Tribolium castaneum: one gene and its partner. The protein of the gene in region 1 purifies or fractionates together with the protein of each later gene. This does not show direct contact. Links are inferred from orthologs where the notes say so. Each region holds a gene or a part of one and is shown on either strand. Other genes may lie near its edges.

What was found.
Region 2: the proteins of obe (region 1) and RpS3 purify together in Homo sapiens (co-immunoprecipitation; 4 studies listed by BioGRID and IntAct, with this or other methods). This does not show direct contact. The link is inferred for Tribolium castaneum from reciprocal best matches to the Homo sapiens genes ASCC3 and RPS3.

The regions. Positions count from the first base shown.
Region 1 is NC_087401.1:15,003,186-15,014,435, reverse strand, and holds part of obe (activating signal cointegrator 1 complex subunit 3), read left to right. Parts: intron 1-114; coding exon 115-1,123; intron 1,124-3,543; coding exon 3,544-4,157; intron 4,158-11,250. UniProt on the Homo sapiens protein: ATPase involved both in DNA repair and rescue of stalled ribosomes. 3'-5' DNA helicase involved in repair of alkylated DNA: promotes DNA unwinding to generate single-stranded substrate needed for ALKBH3, enabling ALKBH3 to process alkylated N3-methylcytosine (3mC) within double-stranded regions.
Region 2 is NC_087402.1:7,602,640-7,614,223, forward strand, and holds RpS3 (ribosomal protein S3), read left to right. Parts: upstream 1-4,565; 5' UTR 4,566-4,607; exon of another isoform or gene 4,608-4,681; intron 4,682-5,257; exon of another isoform or gene 5,258-5,310; 5' UTR 5,311-5,360; coding exon 5,361-5,390; intron 5,391-5,578; coding exon 5,579-5,945; intron 5,946-6,000; coding exon 6,001-6,158; intron 6,159-6,211; coding exon 6,212-6,382; 3' UTR 6,383-6,425; downstream 6,426-11,584. Other genes in the region: cathepsin O, read right to left, coding at 3,365-3,671, 3,721-4,223, 4,270-4,449; Kr-h2 (Krueppel homolog 2), read right to left, coding at 7,309-7,540, 7,590-7,723, 7,776-7,843, 7,917-8,098, 8,304-8,470; retinol dehydrogenase 12, read left to right, coding at 9,341-9,515, 9,567-9,674, 9,723-9,896, 9,943-10,352, 10,510-10,716; Rab30 (ras-related protein Rab-30), read right to left, coding at 11,268-11,372. UniProt on the Homo sapiens protein: Component of the small ribosomal subunit. The ribosome is a large ribonucleoprotein complex responsible for the synthesis of proteins in the cell. Has endonuclease activity and plays a role in repair of damaged DNA.

The DNA.
Region 1 (11,250 bases):
TTCGTAATTATTTAAAAAAAGGTTCAAAAAAATCCATCATTTAAGTGTTTCCTTAAAAAAATTGCTGAAGAATCATTCTCAAACCTTATAGTTCAGTGTAAATTATTTTTCCAGGAGCCTGAAAAGCTCTTTCAGTACCTGGAGCGCAAACTCTTCGACGCCGCCTCCACGCTGGAATCGGCCCAAATGGTCCGTTTCAACCCGACTTTGGGCGAACTCCGTCCGACAAACTACGGCCGTATCGCCAGTTTTTACTACATCTCGCACCAAACAATGAAATATTTCCACGACCATTTCGAACGTTCAATGGTCGAAGCCGACATCCTCCACCTCATCAGCAACGCATCCGAATTCCAGCACATCCAAGTCCGGAACGACGAGCTCGACGAGCTCGATCGCCTCCACGAAGAGTTCAGTCAATTCGAATTCAACCTAGACCCGAGCGCTGTTGTCTTCAAAGTTTTGGTTCTGATCCAGGCTAACATATCACGTGCCAAAATCCGCGTCTCGTCATTGGTCTCCGACTGCGAGTTCATAATGCAAAGTGTGACGCGATTGGCGCGAGCGCTATTCGAAATTGCGGTTGATAAAAATTACGCTTTGCAAGTGTGGCGCTGCTTGGAGGTGGCACGAATGGTTGAACAGCAAGCTTGGACTGACAGGCATCCTTTGATGCAGTTCAAGGAGTTGGAGATTAAGGGGCACAGGGCACTTGATGTGCTTCATAATATACCGATTGAAGAATTACAAGAGATGACAGAGCGGGAAATTTTGGATTTGGTTAGAAGTAGACATTTGGCGAGTCGGGTTCACCATTTTTGCAAAGCTTTTCCACGTGTTAACCTTGACGTTTCGGTTAAACCGATCACAGAGGGCGTGATCAGGTTACAGTTGCTGATTGGTGCTAACTTCAGTTGGGATAGTAGTATCCATGGTAACGTGCAGCATTACTACGCGTGGGTGGAGGACCCCACACATGATAGTATCTATCATTTTGAATCGTTTATTATCACGAAAAAACAAGTGATAAGTAAGGAACCAATCGAATTGATTTTTACGGTGCCGTTGCAAAAACCGCACTCAAATGAATATTTTGTGACGGTTGTTAATAGCAAATATATGGGTGAGTGATTGTCATTTGTTGCTTAAGAAAGCTGGGACACTTGATTTTAATAAAAAATTGTTAGAATAGAGACTGATGTGAATTTTTAAGAAATAGTTACCGAATTTTTAACGATAATTTGATGATTTTGTTGCTAATTTTGGCGAAATTTCGCTAAAAAAAATGTTTAATTTGATGATTTTTTGTCCATTTTTGCGCAAAAGTTCAATTTTTAGCTTCCGAAAAAGTCAAAAATAACAACTTTTGGACGAATTGTCAAAGTTTTCATCTTGTTTTCGACCGAAATCGAAAATTTTTGACAAGTTTTTTCCAAAATTTCGTGAAATACTTGCGCCTTTGGCTAAAATATGTCTAGTTGGAGTTGATTTCATGATTTTTTACTTGTATTTGGAATTTTTTTTTGTGATATAATACGTTTCTGAAGCAAAAATAAAGTAAATTATGTGGAAGAGGTTAAAGTGTTTCGATGAAATAATAAGAATTTTCGACATAATTTGATAATTTTATTTCTTATTTCGCTAAAAATCGAATTAAGACGTTTGAAATCGCGCTACATTATAGTCAATTTTGATTAAATTTGATGAATTTTTTGTCTATTTTTGTGGAATCTTGCGGAAAAGTTCAATTTGTAGTATTCTGAGAAAGTCAAAAATAACAATTTTTGGCTGAATCGTAAAAATTTTCGGCTTGTTTTCGACCAAATTTTTTTCACTTTAATCGAAATCGAAAATGACTGCGTATTTTTACGAAATTTTGTGAAATACTTGCGCTTTTCGCTGAAATACTCAACAGAGGGAGAAATAGTGTGAAGTTCGAGCTGATTTTATTATTTTTTCCTAGTTTTTGGAGAAATTTTGTGAAATAAGTAAATTTCTAAGTTCAAAAATAAACCAAATAGTTAAAGTGTACGTTAATTTTGTTTTTTTTATTCAAAAAAAACCTCAGTTTTTCGCATAAAAACGCACTGTTTTTGTAAATTCTGGCATGTTTTTCCCAAAATTTTGTGAAATAAATTAATTTTTGCTCCAAAAATTAACGAAACTGGTCAAAATGACATCAGTTTTAGTCCATTTTTTAGCAAATTGTTCGGTTTTTTAAGAAAAATTTTAATAAAAAGTGTGTTTAAACGCTTATACAAGGTAAAAACATAACTAGTTTCAAAATATTTTAGTAATTCGGCTTGTTTTTGATGAAATTCAGTCAAAATTAAGTCAAAATAATGAGATCTCACAAGGAAATTATTACGTTTTTAACTCAATAATGTACTTAAAGAGAAAAAAAAATGGAATAATTATACGTTTCTAGCTTGTTATGATAAAATTTCGCTTAAAAACGAACTAAATCGACTGAAACAGACCAAAATAAGCTGATTTTTTTTGGAATCTTTCAAAGTTTTTAGCTTAAAACTGACTTAAACATTCGAAAAAGGTACAAATAGTACACTTTTTGACCGATTTTTCAAATTTTTCATCATGTTTCTGACTTATTTTGGATGATGTTTTTGAAGAAACCTTCTTGTATTTGTGTTTAATAACGAACTAAATCGCACGAAAAGGCCAAAAAACGCTCGAAAAAGGCTAAAATAGTATATTTTCCTACTTCAATTCCTTGATTTCCGGCCTTTTTTTATTGAAAAAACTCAATTTTATGCTTAAGTATGGTAATTTTTAGCATGTTTTTCTCCAAAATTTACGAAATAATTACGTTCCTACTTTGAAAACTGAACAAAATCGGCCGAAACTGAGTTTTTAGGGAAATTTTGATAAAAAATTAAAACAGATTTTGGTTCAAAACAGCGATAAATACTTGAAAAAGGAAAAAATAGTGACGTTTTTGTCCTAATTTCGTAAATTTTTGCTTAGTTTTCGGCAAATTTTCGCGAAGTTATTACATTTTTTGGTTTAAAAGCGAGCTAAATCAAGCGAAATATTCCAAAATAATTGTAATTGCGTTCTAATTTTCGGATTTTCTGGCCTGTCTTAGTGAAATCTCGCGAGAAAATTTGGTTTTTAAATCAATATAACGTACTTACAGAGCAAAAGTTTGCGAAATAACGAACTAAATCAACCGAAACCGACTGAAGTAACACCTTTTTTTCCAATCTAATTATGAGAAACCTTGCAGAAAAGGGTAGTTTTTAGCTTAAAATGGCAAAAATAACACATTTTTTGCCTTGTTTTTGGCGAAATTTTGCAAAGTTTTTGAGTTTTTTGGTTTATTGTTATTGATTTTTTTTGGAAACAAACTGAAACATCAATTTTTTAGCTTTAAAGTGTTAAAAATCACAGAATTTTTGAACGAATTTTCGTATTTTTTTTCGTAATTTGACCTAAATTGGATGATTTAAAAAGTGTCCCACCTTTCAAATCTCGAAACTTTAGCCACTGGACTTGAAGGCACTAAAATTTGACGGTTTTTAGCCGCGGAAACGTCCTACAGAATCGACTTGGACAAGTTACACCTTTTGCCAAGCTACTCAATCCAGACGAAATTTTTAAGCGTGCGACCTTTACCCAAAACGGCCTTACATAACACCGAGTTTGAAAATTTGTACAGTTTTACACACTTTAACGCCGTACAAAGCCAAGTGTTTCATTGCTGTTTCAACACCGACTCCAATGTTTTACTCGGAGCACCGACAGGTTCCGGGAAGACAATAGTGTCGGAAATTTGTATTTTGCGATTATTTGCGAACCGACCCGAGCGAAAAGTTGTCTATATTGCACCAATGAAGGCTCTAGTTCGCGAGCGTGTCCTTGATTGGACGCCAAAATTCGCCAAAATTGGTAAAAAAGTGGTGGAAGTGACCGGTGATGTCACCCCTCATTCTTCACTAATCTCGACGTCTCATATTATTATTACAACGCCGGAAAAGTGGGATGGAATGAGTCGAAATTGGCTTCAGAAGGATTTTGTTAAACAAGTCGGACTTATTATAATTGACGAAATTCATCTTTTGGCTGAAGATCGAGGTCCAGTGCTTGAAGTTATCGTTTCCAGGATGAACTACATCAACAGTATCAAGAATGCTAAGGTAAAACTTACTAAAACTTTAAGAAAAAGCAAAAATTATGACATTTTTGGATTAATTTTGTGAATTTTTTGACGGCATCTCTAAAAATAATGAGCAAAAAAGTATTGCTTTTGATGTAATGTTAATGATTTTTGGCGTATTATTGATGAAAATTTCGAGAAAAAGATTAAGTTTTGGCACGCATTTTCGGCTTGATTACCGACCTTTAAGGCAAATACCTTCAAAAAATTGAAAAAAAAAAACTCACTACAGCAAATTGTTATGAACTTCTATATGTCTTAACAACCCACTAAAGTTGTTAAAAGTCCACAAAAAGTCCATTTGATCGATTTTTTGGGTTTGATTTTTTCAATTTTTTTCGCGATTTTGGCCGATTTCCGGTACCCGGAACATTTCTCGAGCAATAGCTCTGGAACTATCAGAGATAACCCCATGAAGTGTATTATCGTTGGAAAGCTCTTTAAATTATCTATCTTTTTCAAAAAAAAAATATTGTTCTCCGGCTAATAGTTTTCGAGCAAATTGGAGACAAATGCAAAAATTGGTAAAATTTTAAAAAATTCATAACTAAAAAACTATTCGGAATTTGGCAATTTTCTCGATGCCAATCGATTCCCCGGATCATTTTGCATAGGTATGGATCAAAACAGTTCCACTTTTTCGAATAGTTTAGGCGTAAATGAGAAAATAAAAAAAATTAAAAAAAAGTTAACACCCCCCCCCCTTAAAATCGGTCAATTTTTAAAGTGTCTCTAAATCAAATGAAACCTATTCTATCTTATAGATTTTGATTTGCTCTTTACGATGGAACAAACCGTTTTCTCCTAACTCTTTTAGTTTGGCCGTAATCGGCGTTTGAAAATTGAAAAATTTTTTGCGAGATATCGCCTTGAGTCCTATGCCATTTTGTAGAGTTTTTTATTCCGGTTATCCTCCATTTTTCCGTTTCTCGATAACTCTAATAGTTTCGCCGTAATTGGCGGTTGAAAATTGAAAAAAAGTGAAAATGGAAACCTTTTTTTGCGTTTTTCTCGGAAACTGTAAGAGTTAGAGCAACGAACAAAAAACCATCTGATAGCGCTTAATTTTATCTATTTTTTCGACCAAACCCGGAGCCGCTCCGGGCAACGGTTCCGGCTACAGAGGCGATCAAAGTTTTTCACTAAAAAAAATTATAAAAAAAAAACTAAAAGTCGTAGAGCACTGCGGTTTGTTCCATTGAATTCTACGGCTCATTTTACATAATATATCAATTTTTCACAAGAATTAAAATTTTAAAATTTTTTTGCTCAAATTTCCAGGGTAATATCCTTCAAAGTGACGAAAAAAAAATTTTTTTTTAAACTCACTTCAGCATATTTTTATGGACTTCTGTATGTCTTAACAACCCACTAAAGTTGTTAAAAGTCCACAAAAAGTCCATTTGATCGATTTTTTGGTTTTGATTTTTTCAATTTTTTTCGCGATTTTGGCCGATTTCCGGTACCCGGAACATTTCTCGAGCAATAGCTCCGGAACTATCAGAGATAACCCCATGAAGTGTATTATCGTTGGAAAGCTCTTTAAATTATCTATCTTTTTCAAAAAAAAATATTGTTCTCCGGCTAATAGTTTTCGAGCAAATTGGAGACAAATGCAAAAATTGGTAAAATTTTAAAAAATTCATAACTAAAAAACTATTCGGAATTTGGCACTTTTCTCGACGCCAATCGATTCCCCGGATCATTTTGCATAGGTATGGATCAAAACAGTTCCACTTTTTCGAATAGTTTAGGCGTAAATGAGAAAATAAAAAAAATTAAAAAAAAGTTAACACCCCCCCCTTAAAATCGGTCAATTTTTAAAGTGTCTCTAAATCAAATGAAACCTATTCTATCTTATAGATTTTGATGTGCTCTTTACGATGGAACAAACCGTTTTCTTCTAACTCTTTTAGTTTGGCCGTAATCGGCGTTTGAAAATTGAAAAATTTTTTGCGAGATATCGCCTTGAGTCCTATGCCATTTTGTAGAGTTTTTTATTCCGGTTATCCTCCATTTTTCCGTTTCTCGATAACTCTAATAGTTTCGCCGTAATTGGCGGTTGAAAATTGAAAAAAAGTGAAAATGGAAACCTTTTTTTGCGTTTTTCTCGGAAACTGTAAGAGTTAGAGCAACGAACAAAAAACCATCTGATAGCGCTTAATTTTATCTATTTTTTCGACCAAACCCGGAGCCGCTCCGGGCAACGGTTCCGGCTACAGAGGCGATCAAAGTTTTTCACTAAAAAAAATTATAAAAAAAAAACTAAAAGTCGTAGAGCACTGCGGTTTGTTCCATTGAATTCTACGGCTCATTTTACATAATATATCAATTTTTCACAAGAATTAAAATTTTAAAATTTTTTTGCTCAAATTTCCAGGGTAATATCCTTCAAAGTGACGAAAAAAAAATTTTTTTTTAAACTCACTTCAGCATATTTTTATGGACTTCTGTATGTCTTAACAACCCACTAAAGTTGTTAAAAGTCCACAAAAAGTCCATTTGATCGATTTTTTGGTTTTGATTTTTTCAATTTTTTTCGCGATTTTGGCCGATTTCCGGTACCCGGAACATTTCTCGAGCAATAGCTCCGGAACTATCAGAGATAACCCCATGAAGTGTATTATCGTTGGAAAGCTCTTTAAATTATCTATCTTTTTCAAAAAAAATTATTGTTCTCCGGCGAATAGTTTTCGAGCAAATTGGAGACAAATGCAAAAATTGGTAAAATTTTAAAAAATTCATAACTAAAAAACTATTCGGAATTTGGCACTTTTCTCGACGCCAATCGATTCCCCGGATCATTTTGCATAGGTATGGATCAAAACAGTTCCACTTTTTCGAATAGTTTAGGCGTAAATGAGAAAATAAAAAAAATTAAAAAAAAGTTAACACCCCCCCCCTTAAAATCGGTCAATTTTTAAAGTGTCTCTAAATCAAATGAAACCTATTCTATCTTATAGATTTTGATTTGCTCTTTACGATGGAACAAACCGTTTTCTCCTAACTCTTTTAGTTTGGCCGTAATCGGCGTTTGAAAATTGAAAAATTTTTTGCGAGATATCGCCTTGAGTCCTATGCCATTTTGTAGAGTTTTTTATTCCGGTTATCCTCCATTTTTCCGTTTCTCGATAACTCTAATAGTTTCGCCGTAATTGGCGGTTGAAAATTGAAAAAAAGTGAAAATGGAAACCTTTTTTTGCGTTTTTCTCGGAAACTGTAAGAGTTAGAGCAACGAACAAAAAACCATCTGATAGCGCTTAATTTTATCTATTTTTTCGACCAAACCCGGAGCCGCTCCGGGCAACGGTTCCGGCTACAGAGGCGATCAAAGTTTTTCACTAAAAAAAATTATAAAAAAAAAACTAAAAGTCGTAGAGCACTGCGGTTTGTTCCATTGAATTCTACGGCTCATTTTACATAATATATCAATTTTTCACAAGAATTAAAATTTTAAAATTTTTTTGCTCAAATTTCCAGGGTAATATCCTTCAAAGTGACGAAAAAAAAATTTTTTTTTAAACTCACTTCAGCATATTTTTATGGACTTCTGTATGTCTTAACAACCCACTAAAGTTGTTAAAAGTCCACAAAAAGTCCATTTGATCGATTTTTTGGTTTTGATTTTTTCAATTTTTTTCGCGATTTTGGCCGATTTCCGGTACCCGGAACATTTCTCGAGCAATAGCTCCGGAACTATCAGAGATAACCCCATGAAGTGTATTATCGTTGGAAAGCTCTTTAAATTATCTATCTTTTTCAAAAAAAAATATTGTTCTCCGGCTAATAGTTTTCGAGCAAATTGGAGACAAATGCAAAAATTGGTAAAATTTTAAAAAATTCATAACTAAAAAACTATTCGGAATTTGGCACTTTTCTCGACGCCAATCGATTCCCCGGATCATTTTGCATAGGTATGGATCAAAACAGTTCCACTTTTTCGAATAGTTTAGGCGTAAATGAGAAAATAAAAAAAATTAAAAAAAAGTTAACACCCCCCCCTTAAAATCGGTCAATTTTTAAAGTGTCTCTAAATCAAATGAAACCTATTCTATCTTATAGATTTTGATGTGCTCTTTACGATGGAACAAACCGTTTTCTTCTAACTCTTTTAGTTTGGCCGTAATCGGCGTTTGAAAATTGAAAAATTTTTTGCGAGATATCGCCTTGAGTCCTATGCCATTTTGTAGAGTTTTTTATTCCGGTTATCCTCCATTTTTCCGTTTCTCGATAACTCTAATAGTTTCGCCGTAATTGGCGGTTGAAAATTGAAAAAAAGTGAAAATGGAAACCTTTTTTTGCGTTTTTCTCGGAAACTGTAAGAGTTAGAGCAACGAACAAAAAACCATCTGATAGCGCTTTATTTTATCTATTTTTTCGACCAAACCCGGAGCCGCTCCGGGCAACGGTTCCGGCTACAGAGGCGATCAAAGTTTTTCACTAAAAAAAATTATAAAAAAAAAACTAAAAGTCGTAGAGCACTGCGGTTTGTTCCATTGAATTCTACGGCTCATTTTACATAATATATCAATTTTTCACAAGAATTAAAATTTTAAAATTTTTTTGCTCAAATTTCCAGGGTAATATCCTTCAAAGTGACGAAAAAAAAATTTTTTTTTAAACTCACTTCAGCATATTTTTATGGACTTCTGTATGTCTTAACAACCCACTAAAGTTGTTAAAAGTCCACAAAAAGTCCATTTGATCGATTTTTTGGGTTTGATTTTTTCAATTTTTTTCGCGATTTTGGCCGATTTCCGGTACCCGGAACATTTCTCGAGCAATAGCTCCGGAACTATCAGAGATAACCCCATGAAGTGTATTATCGTTGGAAAGCTCTTTAAATTATCTATCTTTTTCAAAAAAAATTATTGTTCTCCGGCTAATAGTTTTCGAGCAAATTGGAGACAAATGCAAAAATTGGTAAAATTTTAAAAAATTCATAACTAAAAAACTATTCGGAATTTGGCACTTTTCTCGACGCCAATCGATTCCCCGGATCATTTTGCATAGGTATGGATCAAAACAGTTCCACTTTTTCGAATAGTTTAGGCGTAAATGAGAAAATAAAAAAAATTAAAAAAAAGTTAACACCCCCCCCTTAAAATCGGTCAATTTTTAAAGTGTCTCTAAATCAAATGAAACCTATTCTATCTTATAGATTTTGATGTGCTCTTTACGATGGAACAAACCGTTTTCTCCTAACTCTTTTAGTTTGGCCGTAATCGGCGTTTGAAAATTGAAAATTTTTTTGCGAGATATCGCCTTGAGTCCTATGCCATTTTGTAGAGTTTTTTATTCCGGTTATCCTCCATTTTTCCGTTTCTCGATAACTCTAATAGTTTCGCCGTAATTGGCGGTTGAAAATTGAAAAAAAGTGAAAATGGAAACCTTTTTTTGCGTTTTTCTCGGAAACTGTAAGAGTTAGAGCAACGAACAAAAAACCATCTGATAGCGCTTAATTTTATCTATTTTTTCGACCAAACCCGGAGCCGCTCCGGGCAACGGTTCCGGCTACAGAGGCGATCAAAGTTTTTCACTAAAAAAAATTATAAAAAAAAAACTAAAAGTCGTAGAGCACTGCGGTTTGTTCCATTGAATTCTACGGCTCATTTTACATAATATATCAATTTTTCACAAGAATTAAAATTTTAAAATTTTTTTGCTCAAATTTCCAGGGTAATATCCTTCAAAGTGACGAAAAAAAAATTTTTTTTTAAACTCACTTCAGCATATTTTTATGGACTTCTGTATGTCTTAACAACCCACTAAAGTTGTTAAAAGTCCACAAAAAGTCCATTTGATCGATTTTTTGGTTTTGATTTTTTCAATTTTTTTCGCGATTTTGGCCGATTTCCGGTACCCGGAACATTTCTCGAGCAATAGCTCCGGAACTATCAGAGATAACCCCATGAAGTGTATTATCGTTGGAAAGCTCTTTAAATTATCTATCTTTTTCAAAAAAAATTATTGTTCTCCGGCGAATAGTTTTCGAGCAAATTGGAGACAAATGCAAAAATTGGTAAAATTTTAAAAAATTCATAACTAAAAAACTATTCGGAATTTGGCACTTTTCTCGACGCCAATCGATTCCCCGGATCATTTTGCATAGGTATGGATCAAAACAGTTCCACTTTTTCGAATAGTTTAGGCGTAAATGAGAAAATAAAAAAAATTAAAAAAAAGTTAACACCCCCCCCCCTTAAAATCGGTCAATTTTTAAAGTGTCTCTAAATCAAATGAAACCTATTCTATCTTATAGATTTTGATTTGCTCTTTACGATGGAACAAACCGTTTTCTCCTAACTCTTTTAGTTTGGCCGTAATCGGCGTTTGAAAATTGAAAAATTTTTTGCGAGATATCGCCTTGAGTCCTATGCCATTTTGTAGAGTTTTTTATTCCGGTTATCCTCCATTTTTCCGTTTCTCGATAACTCTAATAGTTTCGCCGTAATTGGCGGTTGAAAATTGAAAAAAAGTGAAAATGGAAACCTTTTTTTGCGTTTTTCTCGGAAACTGTAAGAGTTAGAGCAACGAACAAAAAACCATCTGATAGCGCTTTATTTTATCTATTTTTTCGACCAAACCCGGAGCCGCTCCGGGCAACGGTTCCGGCTACAGAGGCGATCAAAGTTTTTCACTAAAAAAAATTATAAAAAAAAAACTAAAAGTCGTAGAGCACTGCGGTTTGTTCCATTGAATTCTACGGCTCATTTTACATAATATATCAATTTTTCACAAGAATTAAAATTTTAAAATTTTTTTGCTCAAATTTCCAGGGTAATATCCTTCAAAGTGACGAAAAAAAAATTTTTTTTTAAACTCACTTCAGCATATTTTTATGGACTTCTGTATGTCTTAACAACCCACTAAAGTTGTTAAAAGTCCACAAAAAGTCCATTTGATCGATTTTTTGGTTTTGATTTTTTCAATTTTTTTCGCGATTTTGGCCGATTTCCGGTACCCGGAACATTTCTCGAGCAATAGCTCCGGAACTATCAGAGATAACCCCATGAAGTGTATTATCGTTGGAAAGCTCTTTAAATTATCTATCTTTTTCAAAAAAAAATATT
Region 2 (11,584 bases), on another chromosome or scaffold:
ATCGCAGATATTCTATATTTGATAGCAATAGTGCGTGTTATACATTATATCTGTGTAGTGTTGTGTTGGCCACGTGACACATATCGCCGCCGTCGCCGACCGTCGTGTTGCCCCCATCACTCCCGATAATGTGCTTCTCTCCGCCGCCGCCGCCGCCGCCGCTTGCTTGTCTGTGTCCGTGTGTGTTTATCGTTAATTGCGTAGGATTTATGAATTAGTAGCCGCGAGCTGTCCGCGCCTAAGCTTTTGCTCTTCTCTCAACTGTAAGACTGATGCGTTGTAGTAAGTACTTACTTATATTTGCAAAATTGAATCAAGGCAATATATATTGTGAGTAATATATATTTTTGAGCTATGTTTGTTACTTACATAATCAATCAACTCGACGAGCGGGTGTAATTTTAGCCAAAAAAAAACAAAAAATCTTTGTAAAAATTAAATGAGCGTGTTCGTTGACGCAGTAGTGGCCTCTACCGCCGCTTGGCCTAGTCTGTGCATGCGCCCTCGCACCCCCACACCAAGTGCACCTCACTCGTTTATTGCGGCAGTGGACAATAACGTTACTCCACTTGTTGGCAACTACTCTATTCCAAAGTATTTTCAAAGTTGTTAAATCAAAATGTTACGATGATAAAATTAAGGTGTTCTTCTCGGTTGAAGTTTTCTTTGGAACTCGACACATTCCGAACAGATGGTTTATTTTGTATATGATCGTTAATATTAGAAAAAAACATAATTAGTGTGTGAATGTCACTCGATTATTATGGAGCACATTATCTGGCTAAAGCATTACATGTATACACTGTTGGTCCTGTTACAAGAATATCTTGATAATTTATATGTTGTAATGATAAAGTATTTTTAAAAATCGAAAAAAAAATGAGACCGTTGTGAGGTCGACGCGTCCGCGTCGACACTATTATTTGATTATTTGTCTGTTTCTTTTATTGTCGGAAGTTTCTATTTTTCATAGGACAGTTTCTTGTTATTATATAAACTAAGTGTGCCTAGTCAATAGAGTTCAGGTCAATTTTACGAAGTAATTAATATTAAAGAACAATGTTGTGCAGTTCCATCGACATTATTATGAAAGAGATTGAAAACTTGTTTCCCCTTTGATTACATTATTACAAAAAAGCCCAAGAGCAGTGAACAGCGCGCCCATAATGTTGCGAATTTGACCTAACCGACAAAGAATTTTGTGAGGAGCGATGTTGTGCTGATTGTGGTCATTTTTTGCAACTACCACCCGCACAGCACAATGGACGCTCCCGACGCATGTTCAGTCTCGTCGTTATAAATTTTATTATTTATTTAACATTTAGTCATTTCTACTCTGTACTGAGTACAATATTTGATGATTAAGTCATATCAGTTTGTTACAAGCGTGTATTATTGCAGTGGTGTATCTAATAAAGCATTTCGTTTGCTTGAAATTTAATCGAATTATTTAGTAGATTAACAGTAAACCCCATCAATCCACTCCTTACCGTGGTAGTAGCCGAACCTATAGTAGATGGCACCTATAATAATGTGGGACATGATCGTAGACGTATTATACCTAAGTTATTACTAGTTTATTAGTTATAGACTTGGAAAAAATACAAACACGATACACAGTTTGCTCCCGATAAACGTTCGCTTTTCGCAGCTTTGATGTAATCAAAGGTAAGTATCGCGAGAATCCACACAAAGAATAATCAAGTTCCAACAGCAATTTCATTACGAATAGCTAATATAATAAACACCCTCCAGTTATTCCAATTAGGTACACGATCCAACAAAAGAAAAAAGTCGGAACTTTGTAAGCCATGTTACCTACTTGACTGTAATTTAGTTGACGTTCTTAATTAAATAACTAAGTGAGCAAGTACCTACTACAAAAAGACTAAGGTAAGCACTTCGTATCAGAATAATGGAATTACAAGTTAAATGATCGCTCTCAGCTTTTACCACGTTTAATTGTACGTCTCTGTGCAATAAAAAAGGGTTTTATACATTTCGCCTCAGGTGAGGTTGTTCTGTTGTCAATAATAATAATAATAATAATAAGGCAGTAAGCCACACTCCAAAAAATGTCAGTATAAATACTTCCTACAAGAATTCCATCAACGACTTGTTTAACCTGATAAACATCTTCTAGTTTTACCTTTAAATGACATTCTAACGTAAAAAATTACAATCCAAAGTTTTTTTGGCGAAACGCAATACGAAGTCGTTAGTAGGTATAATGTAACCATTAGTCAATGCAAATGTTACTGATTTAATAATAATATAACGCTAATCATGCGGAAAAATCGCAGGTAAGTGTTTCGAGGTTGATCATTACGTAGCATTATTATTAAAGGAGCAAAAATAAATACTTGCAAGACACTGTGTTATTCAAACGGGATAAATAAAATATTTATAAACTATTTTTTGAGGAAATTATTTTCACCAGCCCAGATCCCCTTCCCTATCAACACTGTGAGCTGTTAAAATTCAAAATAGAGCCGCGTCGGCCAGATTTTTTTCAACACATCGATAATTTGGCGAAAAGTCAACATTTCTGGGTTTTGAGTTTTCAAACTCACTGTATTATTTTCCGTGTGTAAGGAAATTTTGCCTAGCAAACCACCACAAAAGTTAAATTTATTTTTGAAATGGATAATTATGATGTAGATTAACTCAATTACAGGGACAGGATTAAATCAAACAAAATGTTTCCGTTAAATTTATATTTAGAAAAATAATAACTACCCATTACCCACAGAGCAATTAAAAGAACAAAACTTTAAAAAGCCTAAAATAACACCTTTATATTTATGTTACTTCTAAAATTTAATGCAATGGCCACTCTTAACAAAAATCTTGAACACAGAGAGGCTTTTTTATGTAAGTATAGTGCACATGTCCCTGGTTAAAAACATTTTTTTTATTTCTTTCTCGAAAATCTTGACGCAATATCGGATTTCTTATTTAAGCTGCAGCAAAATTTGCTATAAAAATGTACCAGTATAAAATTAGGTATAGCAACAAAAAATTAGGTAACAAAAGAGAAATGGCTCTGTATTATTTAGACGACTTTAAACCACTGGAACTGGAATCCGTTATGAAATACGTACCTGCTTTTATAAAGGGAAGGACCATGAAGCTTATTTATAAAAAAAATGTCTGACGCAACAACAAACTGAAGATGTGTGAGTTTTTTTCACAAAAAAAGGAGTTAATTATTACAAGCTCATTGGTGGCGACCAGTATTTATTTTCAAGGACTATGGAAGAAAAAATACAATAATAAAAAAACATTTATTCTCACTTGGTGTATAAAACCTATACATTTTCTACATAAAATGGATACACTTAAACATCACTATCTAAATAAATCACAGTACTCTTAATGCTGAGACCTCGTTTGCGATCCCACACATATTTTTATCCACAGCTATGTACAAAAATCCCCCGTCCCCAAAGTCCACACCCCACGTATTCCTGACAATATAATGCGGAATACTTGCAGTCAAATCATACCCAACAATCTGGACAGCATGATTTAACTTTGACGGATCCCCATCACAGTGATACTCAATAACACCTCCAATGTAATTCTGCCAAGTTTGCGCATTAATCGCAACAGCCAGGGGTCCATTATCCGCCAAAAGCCTCAACATAACATCTTCAGACCCCACTAATCTGAAAGTTTCCATAAGAAAGAATAAACTTAAAAAATAACTAAACGAACCCTTCACACATGAAGTCTCTAACATGGACACCAGCCGAGCCCCGGCCACATTTACCCCCATAATCGGCGTGTCTTTGAATCGTGAAATTTGTGGCTTTGATCCAAGACAGTAAAGTGCAAATATCGCCCCCATTGCACCCTTTGTTGTTACCAGCGCAATCGATAATTTCTTGCACACTGAGCTCCTCAGACTTGTTGGTTTTGATGGCGTTCATGGACTCCACAGTTTCAATAACAGAGTAGGCCCAGCAGGCCCCACAACTGCCTTGGTTGTAAATTCTAGTCACTGCGTTTTTTTCTCTCCAATCTACTTTATTAGGCACTGTTGCTCGTTTATGGTGGTGTCGTTTTGGCTCATTTGAATGCGTCTTCTGACTCAGGTTTGATTGTAAATAGGTTTGGAAAAATTCCTCTGGTAACAAGTCCGAGAATTTCGTTAAACCGTACAGTGCTGAACCATTCCTTTTTTTGGAATTCAAAGTCTCGATTGTTTGTAGTGATTGCTGAAAAGCGACGTTATACAACAAGGACACAAATTATAAGTTTTACCTTAAATGCATGAAGACGGTTTTGATACACAGAAGGGTCATCGTATGTCTTGTTGAACCTTTTCAAGTACTCTTGAAATTGTGATTCGGCTTGGTCTGGGCCTTTTATTCTTATAGGGATAACGAAAAATAACAGAGCAATGTAGAAAATCGCTTGCAAGTAAGTGCTCCACGAAGCCATTCTTATCAAAACAGATATTTTGGTAACAATGATAATATTGAACTATTTGTCGCTATCGCCATGTTTATTAATTTGATTATCTTGAAACACAATCCTGGCCCAGTTAAGTGACTGAGTGGAACAGAAATTTATAATGAGGGTGAATGAGGTTTAAGCAGGTATTTTTTGATCCACATTGTATAAAATGTCACGACATAACCTCAACGTATGTTGTCAAACCACAAACATAAAAAATAGATGACAGAAATTAACAAAATTACCAAAAAAACTAGAGAATTTATTTATTTATTTTTGTTTTTAATTTATTTTTGCCTATGGTCTTACATTGTTTTACGCAACAGTTGCATAAATTATTCGGTCCAAGATCTTTCCCCAAGATAATATTTTACATTTGGCGCAACTTGTGTAGAATTACATTGCGTTTATTTTCTCAATTACGGCGAAAATATACGACAAAATTGAGATATTTTCAATTATTCGTATGCAAAATTGTCTGGAGAATTGATTGGCGTCGTAAATTCGTAATAGTTTTTCAAGTTATAAACCGAAATAGATTTTGGCTATTTTTGCATTTGTTAGCAATAATAATATTTTTGGAAACTACCAGTAGCAGGACAATGACCTTTTTTTAAACGATAGATGATTAAAAAGAGTTCTGAACACATAAAAGTTCATAAAAGTTGTTGGTTTGGTTGGAGCTACTCAGATAAAAAAAAAATAATTTTTTGAAGGTAAAAAAACTGAAAAAAGAACAGTCTTTTCATTACGTTATTTACCCGATATGCAAGAAAGTTTTCTCTCCAAAAATTATTCAAATAAGCCGCCTTGTAAGCGTCCTCTATCACATCCCTTCCCAATTAGGTCGACTTCCGCTCGCCACACGTCAAACCTTTTCCATTTAGAACGTCAAAATGGCGACTCCAATTTCGAAAAAACGCAAGGTAAATACCAGAAATTGGCCTTTCCATCCACTTAAACATGTTTAACTCTTCATTAGAGCCCAAAATCTTGTAAAATAAGCACACATGTTTGGGCTAACATTCATGTTTACTTGTTCCCCAAACCATAACCCAACATTTTCCCACATGTGGTCCCCAGTTCACCGACTTGATGTTGCGCTTATTTGTAGTTTGTTGGCGATGGCGTTTTCAAAGCCGAATTGAACGAGTTCTTGACTCGTGAATTATCAGAAGATGGGTACTCCGGGGTTGAGGTCCGAGTCACCCCAACTCGCACGGAAATCATCATCATGGCCACACGTACTGACCGTGTTTTGGGGGAGAAGAACCGTCGTATTCGTGAATTGACTTCAGTCGTACAGAAACGTTTCAATTTCCCCGAAAACTCAGTCGTTTTGTATGGCGAGAAGGTGGCCAACAGGGGTCTGTGTGCCATTGCACAAGCAGAGTCTCTTAGATTCAAATTGATCGGAGGTTTGGCCGTGCGCAGGGCTTGCTATGGTGTTTTGAGGTACATCATGGAATGTGGCGCTAAAGGTTTGGACATTTGGCTCAAAACGTATTTTGAATTAATTTAGTGGTTATTTTGCAGGGTGTGAAGTTGTAGTTTCTGGAAAACTGCGTGGCCAGAGAGCCAAATCGATGAAGTTTGTTGACGGTCTCATGATCCACTCTGGGGACCCATGCAATGATTATGTGGACACAGCCACCCGCCACGTCTTGCTAAGACAGGGTGTGCTGGGAATTAAAGTAAGTTTTTGTAAAATTATTGGTGTTTGTATGATGCTATTTTGTTGTATTAGGTCAAGATTATGTTGCCGTGGGACCCCAGCGGCAAAACAGGCCCCAAAAAGCCTCTGCCTGACAATGTCTCTGTTGTGGAACCTAAAGAGGAGATTTTGCCTGCCTACCCCAGCAGTGAAATCAAAGCAGTCAAACCTGACGCACCACCAGCTATTCCAGTAGTAGCTTAAAGTTATCATAAGATTAATTTTCAATAAAATTCTGGAAAGATAACTTTCGTTTTATTTTAATACCAAGAAAAATGCCCTTCCTGTTTCAACCTTATTCCTAATTTTGCCATTGGGAATGTTTTCTCCCTTCTAAAAAAAGAAATTCCTCTAAAGCAGTGAGTCATTAACTGCGACGTGTTTTATCGACATTTCAGAAAATTAGCTAAACTTTGGAGCTACGTAATTTCCAACTAAGTAAGATTTTACAAAATGACACGTAAACAAAAATTTTGGCGAAGCAACTAATTGTTGAGTGAAAAAGGCAAAAGCAGCGTAGATAATTTCCGTTTCTTTTTGAACAAAATATGGTTTAAAAATGTGCTAAAGTAAGCATTTAAAAGACATCGTGATTCTGTCCGTTTTTAAAGGAATTTCGCAAAATAAGAGAGCTTAAAGCAATTTTTAATTTTCGGCCTGTTTACTAAATGTTTATCTCTGAACTGGATCATAGTTCGTAATAACAATAACAAAAATAAAAAATGGGAATAATGAAGAATAATGGGAATAATGAAGAGTATTTCAATAAAACGCCCTTTTTTAAATATTTTTTTATTGTGAAATTACAAACTTTTGCTTATTAACATAACAACATGACATGGAGAAAATTTAATTCGAATGAGTTTTACAACAGAAACCTCCATGAGCACAATGCATTTATAACGATATAACAAAACTACTTTACACCATCCATACTAAAAATTAATAAAAAATCATTCCTGGGTTAAAAGTATATAAAAAGTAACGGACGAAATTTTGCAACCATACCTCAAATTCGTGCAAAAAATTGCATGAACATGTACCAAACAAGTGCAAATAAACAATACTAGGCGTTAAAATTACCCATATCACGAACATTTGATATAATAAGGATACATGGAACAACTAGCTCACTGCTGATGCTGGGCTTGCACCTGGGGAGGTGCTAACTTAACAGTGAAATTGATAATCCCTAGCAAGATTGACTTCACAAAGGAAGGTAGATTGGGCTTTGCTGCGGTCTTTTCGAACAAGATTCTGAGTTCATGGAACATGTTTCTATTGTAAGGGTTACGCCTTGATGTGTACCTTTGAGTCAAAAAATGATAATAGATAAAAGGCGTCAGTAGACTAGCCCGTCCCCTGCAAAAACAATTTTTATAAAAAATATTACCCCATTTAGATTATTTACATAGCGACAAAAAGTACAGTGAGTGGCATCATAATAATCTCAGTGAATGCGATCAGTCTCAAGATATTTAGTGACTGGAATTCGACCAAAGATATCAAGAGGCGGGCGCCCCACCACGAGTTTTGGCCCAAAGTCTGAAAAACAAAAAATTACTAAAACGTTACTAGTGCTGTTACTGACTATTACATCAAGTAGAGTTAGTGAGTAACTGGCTGAATGTAGAATAGCGAACAGAACCACTGGCAACAAAACCACTGTATTCTAGTTAAGGAAATGAATTCAGTGCTGCTCTAATTGAATCAATTCACATTAATTAGAGAAGGATACAGGTCAAGGGTGCCACATAGATAAAAATCATGGAATAGAAGAGATAGTGGCAGCTATCCTCCATCAACAACTGTGCCACAAACTCCCGACTCAGCCTAACCCTCCCCAACCTCTGGTGCAGCCTGAGGGCGTTAATGGCAGCGTTCGCAATGAGCGCCTTGTAATAGGCATTTTGAGCACTCCTGCAACACAACAAAAATTTCTCACTGAGTGAAAGTTGAAAAAGAAAGTGCATATGTGATGGGCTACTTTTCACTCTTAGGATCCTCAACCATACAACGTCCACTTTTGGCGTTTTTACCTAAACACCACAATTAAAAACACAACCCAAGAACAACCGGTTATCAACCGGCTACCTGTAATTAGCATGAGTACAAGGCTACTTACCCGAAAATTGGCAAAAAGTAGCCGCAAGTGAAGAGGATGGTCAGCACCCGAATGGCCCACAACCCACAGTCGATTTTGTGGGTGAGCACGTGCTGCTTGAGGGCCTCCACGTTCAGCCCCCGCTGTCTTTGGTCCGAACTGCTCGATGGGCCCGCACTGTCACTCATTTCTTCGAGATTTGGAAAAACACCAACGGTTTACAGTGACACGTAGGTGGTTAGCAAATTCGCGAAATAGCACGACCGAATAATGTTAATGTTTGATTTTTATTACAAACAGGACGATACGTGCATATCTCACTTGCTCGTAAACACGCAATGACATAGTGACATTTACGTTGCCATGAGATTGCGTCCGATTTTGACGTTTGTGGGAGGGAAGGAAACTGTATTTGGGGACCCGAAACTAAACCCCACACAGATTTTTTACTAACACGTGGACACATTGGCATTGTTGAAGTCAAACACATCGCCCTTTTTCGAAAAATTAATTTATGAGGGGTGGTATTTGGGGAACAATTTACCAGATTGGGTGCTTCTTTTGCGAATGGATAGATGTCGCGACGCGCCAACACCTGATTTTGACATTTGACAACCGAAAGGTTGGGGGCCTCAGAAAACAAATAATTAATTAATAATTTCGATCGATTGAAAACTGTGACCCGATGCCACTAGTGACCCTTGTCCTCTCCACATATATGCTAATCTCACATCCTAATTTGAAACAGGATTTGGTGTTACCGTTCGTTGTGGTTTCACCGTTAAAATCTTCAATTAATAATTAATGGGATACGCTCCAATTATAGCGCACAAAAGAGCCGTTGCTTCTTTGAAAATTGACAAAATTTGAAGTTTGAACGAAAAATTGTAATTCCCCAGTCTCGTAATTACCCAATACCTGTCCTGAGTCAGCCCGTTGGACCCACTCAACTTATCTCCTTCGCGTGTTCGTCGGAAATAGAGAAAGTCATGTCCGAGAAAGTCGCTTAGTTAGAGCTAAACAGCACAAGCGTCAACATTTTTTAATGTTTTTAATCCATGTTTTTGTTAATTGGCTGTGGGATAATCATCATCGTCACAATTGTGGCGATATGGCGCTCAAAAAAGCCCCTAAAAACGATCTTAGCTGAGGCAAAATACGAGCTACTGTATAATGCAGTGGGATCCAGGGCCATCCTCGAGGATGTGTTCATGCGGAGTAAAAACAAGACGGGTAAGCATTTTTTGTAAATTGTTAAACCCGCCAAACTCAATTTAATTTAAGATTTGCCGATTTTGTCCGGGAAAGTGGCCGTAATAACAGGGGGTGCCAGAGGAATAGGGGCCGAGGTCGTAAAAATGCTACTTCGGTGTGACATTCACGTTATCATCGGTACTTTCAGTCATAAGAATACGACTAAAAATAAATAAATAATAATAGGTTGCAGGAATACTCAAGCGGGGGAACAAGTGTTACAAAAGTGCAGGGACAGCGGGGTGACTACGGGGGACGTCACCGTTTACAAACTGGACATAAGTGTGTTAGATTCTGTTAAAAGTTTTGCCAAAGTTGTGGCCGAAAAACACCCAAAAATTAATTATTTAATTAACAATGGTGAGTCGCTTTTTGTTATTTTTTTGCATAATTGTTTGTACTTTAGCGGGGATAATGTTTGGTCCGTATATTGAGAGTCGAGATGGTTACGAGTCGCAGTTTTCCACAAATTACTTGGGTCACTTTCTTTTGACCCATTTGTTGCTCCCGCAACTGTGCGCTGCAGGAACCCAAAATTTGAAATCGCGAATAGTCAACGTATCGTCATGTGCCCATCTAGTTGGAGAAATCAAATTTGAAGATATTAACAATCGGCATCAGTACATTTCCGGCGAAGCATACGCGCAATCAAAGCTGGCACAAGTGCTCTTTACTAATTATTTGGAAAGTGTCTGCAAGAAGGAGAATATGCCGGTGCAGCTACACTCCGTCCATCCCGGCATAGTGAACACAGAGCTGTTTGATGGCACACATTTGAAGAATTTAGCCCCTTGGGTGCCGTCTTTGATGTTTAAGGTACGTTGCGTAAGGAACTGTACACAAGAACCGGTCCCCAAGGCCGGAAAATGACTGTTCACTTTGCTTATCTATGTCATGTTTCTGCCGATTATTAGCTAATTTTACGCTGTCGTTGGTAATGAATTGACTGCAATAACCGAGCGGAATTTTTCAGACACCCGAACAAGGCGCAATTCCAATCGTCCACGCCTGTCTCTCCCCGCACTTGGAGGGCAAAGGCGGGACTTACATCCACAATTGTCGGATTTTTTCGACGAGCGAGAACGCCAAAAGCGAGGACTTACAAGAGAAACTCTTCAACTTCACCAAAGATTTGCTCAAAATCGAGGACTTCGGGCAGCCGCACAACAACAATAATTAAAGACTTGAAAAGTGTATAGTTTTATTGTGTTAATGATTTTGTTGCTTTTACATGATTATTCTTTGGCTTATTACTAAAAACATGTAAATAAATAATCTCTTACGAATCACCTACACCATTTATACAAAAAATAATGTAAAAAAGTAAGTGCAATCGGAAACAAACGCTTTTGTACCAAACTAAAATATTGCACTTGTCCGCTAACATAAATTTCTAGAGCACTTTCATCAATGGGGAAAGGAATGGAGGCGACTACACCTAGTGCGTACGTAGCATTATGCAAAAATTACGTTTACTGTGCTTCGAGATGAAAATGCTCTAATGCGAATTGCACATAATTTACTACAAACAAATTGTTAGGAAGCACATTGGCACAATCTAACAATTACGCATCAATCAATTCCAAACACAGTTTATTAACGTTGTCAACAATACAAAAATCAACGATTCATAAATATTCACAACCAATTGTAATAATTTATTCAATCTGTATCAATTTACGTATAAATAAAGTACGAAAAACCTGAGTAAAATAAATTAAGAAGGTTGGTCTATTGGAACCTACTGCAACAATTGGAATCGCTTACTGTGGACGTACGCCCGTTTATATTCGTCGTGCTGGCGTCGTACCTTGGCAAATCTCTGCTCCGCGCTTGCTGTATACAAAGAGCAAAATGCATGTTTTGTTGTTTAATTCAATTGAATTTGCATAACTGCGACGAAGAATGCAGTTTCACCATTAAACTCAGTGGCGGCTCTTCAAGTGAACCCCAAACTAACAGAATATTAAATTCTAATAAGCATAAGCTATGTTAAAAACAGTGTCTTCGTTTCATCCTCATTTTAATTACATCCCAAAGTCGATTAA